Linked DNA regions of Oryctolagus cuniculus. The protein of the gene in region 1 binds, or shares a complex with, the protein of each later gene. Links are inferred from orthologs where the notes say so. Each region holds a gene or a part of one and is shown on either strand. Other genes may lie near its edges.

Region 1 (4,435 bases):
GGCACCAGCCGTGAGCGTGACTGGGAGATGGGAAGCCCGAGTGAGAAGAGTCTGGCCCTGGTTCCTGATCTGACTGCAGTCATGTGAAAGACTCCAGAGAGAACTTCTGAGGTCAGGCAGTTCACAGCACCGTGAGTGAGAAACTGCTGTTTTCAGCTGCTAAGTTTGGAATGGTTGCTGTGCAGCTATAGATAACTGGAACTTACTCACAGTCCTCCCAATTTGGAAATAGCTGATTTTGTTTTGCCTGCATACACACACACACATATATATGTATATGTACATATGGAGATTTATGTATTTGAAAGAGTGACACACACACACACACACACAGAGACAGAGAGACGGAGAGATTTTCTAGTTTACCCTCTAAATGCCTTCAACATCCAGGGTTGGACCAAGCTGAAGTCAGGAGCCTGGAACTCCATCTGGGTCTCCCATATGGGTGGCAGGAACCCAGCCACCTTCTGCTGCTTTCCCAGGTTCATCAGCAGGAAGCTGGATCAGAAGTGGGGTAGCTGGGACTCAAATAGGCACCATGATATGGGATGTGGGCTTAACACACTTAACATGCTGAGCCACGATACCTGTCTTCAACACACATATATCTTTTTTTAAAAGAATTATTTTATTTATTTGAAAGAGTTACAGAGAGAGGTAGAGTGAGAGCGAGAGTGAGAGAAAATCTTTCATTGCACTGGTTCACTCCCCAAATGACTGCAATGGCCAGACCTGGGCCATCCAGAGCCAGGAGCCAGAAGCTTCCTCTGGGTCTCCCACACGGGTGCAGGGGCCCAAGCACTTGGGCCATCTTCCACTGCTTTCCCAGGCCATAGCAGAGAGCTGGGTTGGAAGTGGAGCAACCGGGACTCAAACCGGCGCCCATATGGGATGCTGGTGCTGTAGGCTGCAGCTTTACCCACTACACCACACTGCCAGCCCCTGCAAAGCATCTTGTTGAGCGACATAGAGACTGGCCTTCCATACTGATTTGATCCACATGCATACTTCAGATACACACTCCAGGAGCCCCACCCCGATCCATTCAGCTTTGTTTTTTTTCTTTACTTTAAAAGCATTGAAACAATTTTGGGAGGGGGAGATTGACAGTCGCGGTGTGTATTCATAGGGTACAGTGTGCAATGTGAACTGATATCATCAGACGAATCAGCATCTCCCCCACTGCAATTGACCTACCCTAGAAGCAAACAGGTGACAGATGGCACCTTTTGGATAGTGATCTTGGTGGTTTGGGCCAGGAAGCGGGGTCAGGAGGGAGAGGGGGCTGTATGCAGTCCCAGGAGTGAGGTCAGGCATGGCCTGGTGCTCACAGGGCCTCCGCCCTCTTCCTTTGGGTCTTTGCAGACTTCTGCTTCCTACTTCTCTATTTTTGGTCTGCCTGGCTTTGGTGGCTTCCTTGAAGTGGCTCAGTGGAGCCTACGACCTCAAGACTCTCACTCCTTCCAGGCCCCTGGCTCTTCCAGCCATGACTTACAGGATCCTTCTGCTAACAGGTGCACCTGGGGCTTGGGGTGGGGGAGGGAGTGGGGTTGAGGGGCTCAGGGTGGAGGAGGGGAATTTTTTGTTTTTGTGGGTGCTGAGAGATGAGTATGTCGGGGTTGGATGTTGCAGGCAAAGGGGATTTGGGGGAGGGTGATGGATGGAGGACCATCAGAGCGTAGAGTGAGAGCAAGGTGGGATGGCCAGGAGGGGCAGAGACGGTGCAAGGCCATTTGGTTGGTCCCTTCACCTCTCATATCAGGAAACAGAGGCCCAGAGAGGTGAGGTGAGCTACCCATGGGTGCACAGCTGCTGGATTCTTCTGCTGTGGTGTTTCTTTTTGGATGCCACCAGACCCCGCCACCTCCCACTGGTCCCATTTCCCAAGGACCCGAGTATGGATGCTTGTTGAATGACAGATGATTCAAAATGATTCCTGTTTCTCTTTATGCCCATGTTTTGTTGGGGAGGGGCAGTGGGGAATGGGTCACAAAGGGAAGGAAATGATTGGAGCCACGTAGGAAGGAAATTGTCAAACAGAGTAAAGCTGTAGGAACTTGACCGTTGGGCAAGTCACTGGGGTGCTGGTACCAGTGGAAGAGCTCCTTGGTGTGCTCTCAGAGGCTGGCTGAGTCCACCCCACGCTGGTCTCCGGAGGCTATGAGCCAGGGTTGGAGATGGAACATGGGCAAATCCACTCCATGATGGAGGAACCCTCGTTCTGTGAAACGCTGTCTTCCACCACCCTCCGGAACCCCATTTATCTCACTAACAAACCTGTATTCAAAAAGAATTGTACTCAGCAATCCATTTCTGAATTCCCTTAACAAAGTTACAGGATACTTCACCAAGTCCTTGGAAAAGTGGAACTGAAAGAGAAGTTTTGGGGGTGCAAAAAATTTTGAAATCTGTGCATAGTTTTTTTTTTCTTTTTTCCATGAGCTTCCTGGAGCCTCTTGGCCTACAAAGGCTGAAACATTTGCTATCTGGGCTTCTATAGAGAGGAGGGCAGGAGGTGTAGACTTCCCAGGCCGGGGCTGGAGAAGCTGGACTGGAAGGTGCCCGGAGCAGGCAGGTGCACCCTTCCTGTACTGATCCTCGCCCCTTGTTCTCCCTCCAGCCGTGGCCTTGTGTCATGGGTTCAACCTGGAGACTGAGAACACCATGACCTTCAGCAGAAACGAGAAGGGCTTCGGGCAGAGCGTGGTCCAGTTTGAAGGCTCCCGGTAAGCATCTTGCACAGAGTCCCCTCCCTCACGCACTTAATCTCTGAGACTTAAATTCATGTGGAAAACAAATCAATTAAAAAAATTACTGGGGTTGGCACTGTGGCGTAGTAGGCTAAGCCTTCACTTGCAGTGCCGGCATCCCATATGGACACTGGTTTGAGACCTGGCTTCTCCTCTTCCAATCCAGCTCCTTGCTATGGCCTGGGAAAGCAGTAGAAGATGGCCCAGGTGTTCGGGCCCTTGCACTCACATGGGAGACCCAGAGGAAGCTTCTGGCTTCTGGCTTTGGATTGGCCCAGCTCTGGCTGTTGCAGCCATTTGGGGAATAAACCAGCAGAAGGAAGACCTTTCTCTCCATCTCTCCCTCTCTCCGTCTGTAACTCTGCCTCTCAAAAAAATAAGTAAAATCTTAGAAAAAAATTACTGATTTTGAAAGGCAGAGTGACAGAGAGTAGAGAAAAAATCTTCTATTCACTGGTTTCACAATCCCAAATGATCACAAAAGCCAGGGCTGGACCAGGCTGAAGCCAAGAGCCAGGAGCTCTGTCCAGGTCTCCCATGTAGGTGGTGAGAATTTGAGTACTTGGGCTCATCTTCTGCTTCCCAGGTGCAGTGGTAGGAAGCAGAGTAGCTGGGATTCGAACTGGTGCTCTGATGTGGGACACAGGCGTTCCAAGTGGCAGCCCTAGGCTGTCTTGTGTTGATTTTTTAGACTGGGTAATAGTCTATAAAAGGATGTTATGAGTCAAATCCTCTTTCTCACCCTCCTCCCACAGTTCCCTTCCCAGGAGGGAGGCTGGCTGATTGTTTCTGGTGTGTTCCCCTAGAGAGATTCCACACCTGCAGAGGTCACCTCCCTTACCCGACCCTGCACGCACTTGGTCGCTTATGTTCCCTGTGCGTGGCAGCCTGCCTGTTGCAGGCACCTCTGTTTGTACATGACTTTTCCTGGGCACGGCCCCGCCCACTTGTCACTTGCTTGTGCTGCTACCGTGGCCAAATCAAGTAGCTGTGACAGCGATTTCACAGCAGGCAAGGGCCTAAAATGCTGACCTTCATAGAAATAACATTTACGGCAGGGATAATTACCTTCATTTTTAAAAAAGATTTATTTTATTTATTTGAAAGACAGAATTACAGAGAGATGTAGAGCCAGAGAGAGAGAGAGAGAGAGAGGTCTCCCATCTGCAGGTTCACTCCCTAAATGGCCGCAACAGACAGAGCTGAGCTGATCCGAAGCCAAGAGCCAGGATCTTCTTCCAGGTTTCCCATGCAGGTGCAGGAGTCCAAGAACTTGGGCCATCTTCCACTGCTTTCCTAGGCTATAGCAGAGAGCTGGATCAGAAATGGAGCAGGGGCCGACGCTGTGGCGTAGTGGGTAAAGCTGCCACCTGCAGTGCTGGCATCGCATGTCCTTGCTGCCCCACTTCCAATCAAGCTCTGCTATGGCCTGGGAAAGCAGTGGAAAATGTCCTGGGTCCGTGAGCCCCTGCACCCACGTGGGAGACCCAGAAGCTCCTGGCTTCAGATTGGCACAGTACTGGCTGTTGCGGCTAATTGGGGATTGAACCAGTGGATGGAAGACCTTTCTCTCTCTGCCTTTTCTTCCCTCTCTGTGTAACTCTGCCTTTCAAATAAATAAATAAATAAATAAATCTTAAAAAAAAAATAAAGGAAGTGGAGCAGCCAGGACTCGAACTGGTAGT
Region 2 (4,493 bases), on another chromosome or scaffold:
TCTGGATTCTGACTTCTGGTCCTCAGTCTACTTATCACTTGATTATTAACGTATTAGAGGATTATTAATGTATTACATGGTTATTAACTTATTACATGATTATTAACTTATTACATGATTCTGAAGAAGCCCGTTGCCTGGGAAGTTTTTGAGTAGCCATAAAACCACCACACTGCAACTAGGAAAATAATCGGAATTCAAGTGAGATTGTCATTTAAATGGAAAAAGAATATGTTCAAAGAGAAATAAAACATTCACACTTATTTTATTCCTAAAATTGATTTTGCTAATACAAGTGATTGTGAAACTTTAAGAATCTATTTCTCTTATATTATCTTAAACGATGACTTTTTGTGAAAATTCAGGTCATTGGCTTTACTGGAACAATGGTAATAAAAATCCCCATTTAAAAAATGCAGGTCTTGCTACAGTTTGCTTTTTGTAAAGACCACATAAGGCACATGGAAACTTGCGGTAAATTAATGTTCCTTGTACCAAACTCCATGGAAAGAAATCTAGGGTAAAAGAAAAATAGTATATGATATGCTATACTGCATATAGTTAAATATGGTTTATTATGTTCATTCCCTGTAATACAAAGTCAACAGTTAAAAAGCCCCGTGTTAGCTGCAGCTTGCTCTCTGTCGCAGCTCTGGCTTTGAGAAGGCGATGCATTTGTGTCCACAAGCAAACCACTGGGGCACAGCTCTGCAAGCAGCTGTACAACTTCATCCCAGAGAGGTTTTTCACGAAACTGAGAGGAAAAGTGTCCTGGGCTTCAAGTAGTGGGAGGGGAATGATCGCCTGTCCAAATTCAAAGTATACAGCCAGAGACCATAAAGCATGGAAGTTTCTTAAAGCACAGAAAATGGTGTTGGATGTTTTTCAAAGCAAATATAATACCTAAAAAAACTTTTAATTTAAGTAATAAAGTACAAATATTGCCACTCTAAAATAACGCATGTCCCAAAGGGAGAGAAAGGTAATATCCACTCTCTTTTCCTTTGAATTCAGCTGGTCTTTAACCGCTTTTTATGACTTAGTCTTTAAAGTGCATAATCAACTTAGAAAGGAACAGACCAAAGATGGGAGACACAAGCTTGGTTTTCAGTGTGGATCACCTTCCCTTTTGTTTCACTCCCACTACCTCTTAATAGTCCTGCAAATCAATTCATCCCCAGATGATTAAGGGGCTAACATGCACTCTGCTGTTTCATCAATTCCACATTTGAATGAGATCATGAAGTGGCTCCATTATGTTATTAGTTACAAAGCTCTTCTGGGTGGTTCCTGACTCTCCTCCCAGGCCCTTCCCTCCAACACACACACACACACACACACACAGAACCTCTTTCTCAAGCTACTGCTAACACATGCCATGACAGCTCAACTACTAAAAGAGCAAAACTACTAGAATTTGGCACTTCCCTCACATTGCTCATTTCCTCCTCTCGTGCGCCCCCAACTCCACACCTATTGTCTCAGTGTATCCCCCAATTTCACAAAGCAGCTATTAGACAGGGCTAAGGTAACAACAGAGTGTATATAAACTCTGTGTGTATTCTTGAGTGGATGTAGGTGTTGTGTTGTTAGGTACAAGGGTGTGTGTGTGCGTGTGTGTTAAGAGGAGAGGGAGTTTTATGTTCTGTACATTAAGTAAGGAAAGAATTTGGTACATTCCTCTCAAAAAATATTTTGTTAAGTTATTAGAACAGTCAATTCAGAAATTGATGGTCTAACAAAGTATACCTGGGGTAACAAACATACCCTAGCTTTCTGTGGGTAAAGGGAAAAGGGCAAGCAGGACAGTGCAGGACAGGGATCAAAGTCGGCAACCAAATGAGCAATGGGGAACCATGGTGCATCTTGGAAAGTTTGGACTTGACCATTTCTCGAAGTGTTCCTGGCTGTCAGGCAGGATTGACAGTGCCAGCTGCTCAGTGTCACCAGGCAGGGGGACAAACAAGCCCCCACACGTCACCCAGAAATGCCAGCTAAGGGTCATCCGCTGGCAAGCCCCCGGGGTACTCCGAGAAGCAGAAAAAGAATGGGAAAATGAGACCTGCTCACAAGGGCTGCCTTCCTGCCTCCTCTCTACTGAGTCACACACACACACACACCTCCCAAAGCCTCAGGTTTGACAAAGAGCAACCATGCACCCTGCAGCCCACCCTGGCAAGCTCTGTAGCAGTCAGCTGGAGCAGCCTCCAAACGCAGGCTTCCCACGACAAAGGCTTCCCTCCTTCTGCTCAGAAAAGCACACTCTCCTTAAACCTGACCTGACAGCCCTCCCAAAAACATGCCTCAGTCTGCAGTAAGTCAGTTTTGAGAGCAGTCCTATCAGCAACCACACCAGGCAGCCCCTCTCCCACTCCCAGCACCTTCATCCGCTGGCAACCAGAAAAGTGGCACAGGGTGCAAGCACACTTAAGCCCCCTGGGGGAAATCACACATTCCCTCCGCTTACTTTGAGCTGCAAATGTCCTCCCTGGCGCTCAGGCTGCCTTTGTTGGAAGGGGCGAGGTTTGCCGCTGCTGGAGTCCAGGTACCCTGCGCGCTGCTGCTCCTGCCTGGGCGGCCGCTGCTCTGCTCTTCTGTACAGACGACTCACTGGTCTCTTTCTTCCTCTCTCTCCACTTTGGATTTTCCTGTGCTCTGGGGCTCCCTTGGCGGGATTTTTGGACTGGAAGGCGGGGAACCTGATCTGCTTTTGACTCAATTACGCCCTGACAGGGAGGGAACGGAAGGGAAATGGAGAATGGGAGGGATGGGAGAGGATGCAGGCTGGGCGAGGGAGGGAGAGTGCTTTTCACCCGAGAGCTGATTGGGAAGCTTATTAAAAGCAGGCTACTCCAGGGGCAGTCTCTCCCCGTGGAGCAAGAAAACGGATTTGAACCAAGAAGCCAGGAGATGTAAGACTGTATTGTTTTTAGCAGAGAGACGGAACACAGTCTAGCTTTTGCAAACCCCATGCATGCTCGGTGCTTTCCGGGGGCGCATTCCCCAGTTTACCAAGTTAACCTATCACACACAGTGACATTTTAGGTTGCAGTTTTGGCCCCTGTCATTTTTTAAAAATAATATTCAGGATGAAAAAAACAGCTTCTTGTTCTTCCCCACCCCCAAACGCCCTCCCTACACAGAAGAACCCCAGCCAAATTCAGCTGTCAGTCCCAGCCCACCTGAGCCTCCCAAAGTGTGCAGAGTACTTTTCTCCATTGTCACAGAGTGACAGATGTCTTCAGGTTCCTAATTAAGTGCTGCTTTCCTTTAGGTTTTTTTTTTTTTTTTTTTTTTTTTTGCTTCTGTGGTGCTTTTATGAGCCTTTGTAATGATAAGCCTTTGACATCGACAAAGAATTTAGGGGATTGATCAATGGAGCTCAAATGCTAGGTTTTATAGAACTCAGAGGCTGGGCTCCTTGACTTTCAGGAATTCCATCTCATTCAATGGAAGAAAGATGCTGAGATAGTAGAATTGGGACTGCTGAAGTCATATGTAGATGAATATTTATGGCATAGATGAGATTAAAAGTGTTGTATGAAATGATTCAGACTTACAAAGCAGATTTCCACTAACATTTACAGAAGTGAATTGTGAAGTGTTCTGTCTCTTGTCACTTCTTTCCAGCTCCTTCCAATGCTCCTTTTATGTCCTTGCTATCACCATTTGGCCACAGCCCACATGCCGGCTGCACCCCCCCATTTGGTTGTGGTTTGTTTGTCCATTTCTGTGGTTCTGAGCTCACGTCCTTCTATTCAATTTGACAAATATTTGTTAAGTACCTTATTTAACTCTTTTCCATTCACTTAAAACCACCCCTGACATCCCAAAGTAGAAGCACTGTTTTGTGGCAGGTAGCTTTTCAGGGATCTGAGGCTCTTCCATCGATTGCAACAAGCAGAAGTGTCCCACGGAGGAAGGAGTCAACTGGGGGCCAAGAAGCAGCTCGGCAAGTAGAGCTTTTAATCAATCAATCATTTTTTTTTTATTTTTTTTTCCACAAGGAGGTGCATCAGAAATTCCATTAGGCACTTTCTATCTATCCCCTTAAGGAAACTCTCCAGACACAGGGCGTACACCAACCTCCAATGAAACACAGATTGCAGCTTCCCTGTTCTCACAGGAGCCCATTCTCCCCGTGAAGCATCTGCTGGTAACTACCGACTGGAGGGATGCGCATGACCTTGACTAGGGTTATTTTTCCCAGACCCGTTACTGAAAGTGATGTCTCAGGGTTTCCCACCACTCTGCAAGGGCCGAGTTTCCTTCCTAACCTGTATCTTCACATCTACAGGTGAACATGTTGCCACCAGTCAGGTGGACAACGCAGGGCTGATCGTGGTGCCCATTGCTAAAGGTCATAAAGGAAGCATGAGATTCTCATTATTTCACTCAATTATATGCATTATATCAAAATAGGATTTTATTAAAGTAGGTATGTGTGAAAATGACTTACATCAATGGTTGTCAGACAGGAGTAGGTGCCCTCC

What was found.
Region 2: the proteins of ITGAM (region 1) and PTN are in contact, whole or in part, in an NMR structure (PDB 8VOH), measured with the Homo sapiens proteins. The link is inferred for Oryctolagus cuniculus from reciprocal best matches to the Homo sapiens genes ITGAM and PTN. Residues at the interface, in NP_000623.2 of Homo sapiens: Pro273, Asp276, Arg277, Gly279, Val280, Ile281, Arg282, Tyr283, Lys306, Pro307, Arg309, Asp310, His311, Ala334, Ile335, Glu336, Gly337, Thr338, Gln339; in NP_001308315.1 of Homo sapiens: Val56, Pro57, Thr58, Ser59, Asp61, Cys62, Gly63, Leu64, Thr66, Glu68, Thr79, Lys81, Thr82, Gln83, Arg84.

What each region holds. Positions count from the first base shown.
Region 1 is NC_091450.1:5,926,842-5,931,276, reverse strand, and holds the start of ITGAM (integrin alpha-M), read left to right. Parts: upstream 1-1,376; 5' UTR 1,377-1,486; coding exon 1,487-1,514; intron 1,515-2,617; exon of another isoform or gene 2,618-2,620; coding exon 2,621-2,726; intron 2,727-4,435.
Region 2 is NC_091434.1:173,077,306-173,081,798, forward strand, and holds the start of PTN (pleiotrophin), read right to left. Parts: upstream 2,816-4,493; 5' UTR 2,468-2,815; intron 1-2,467.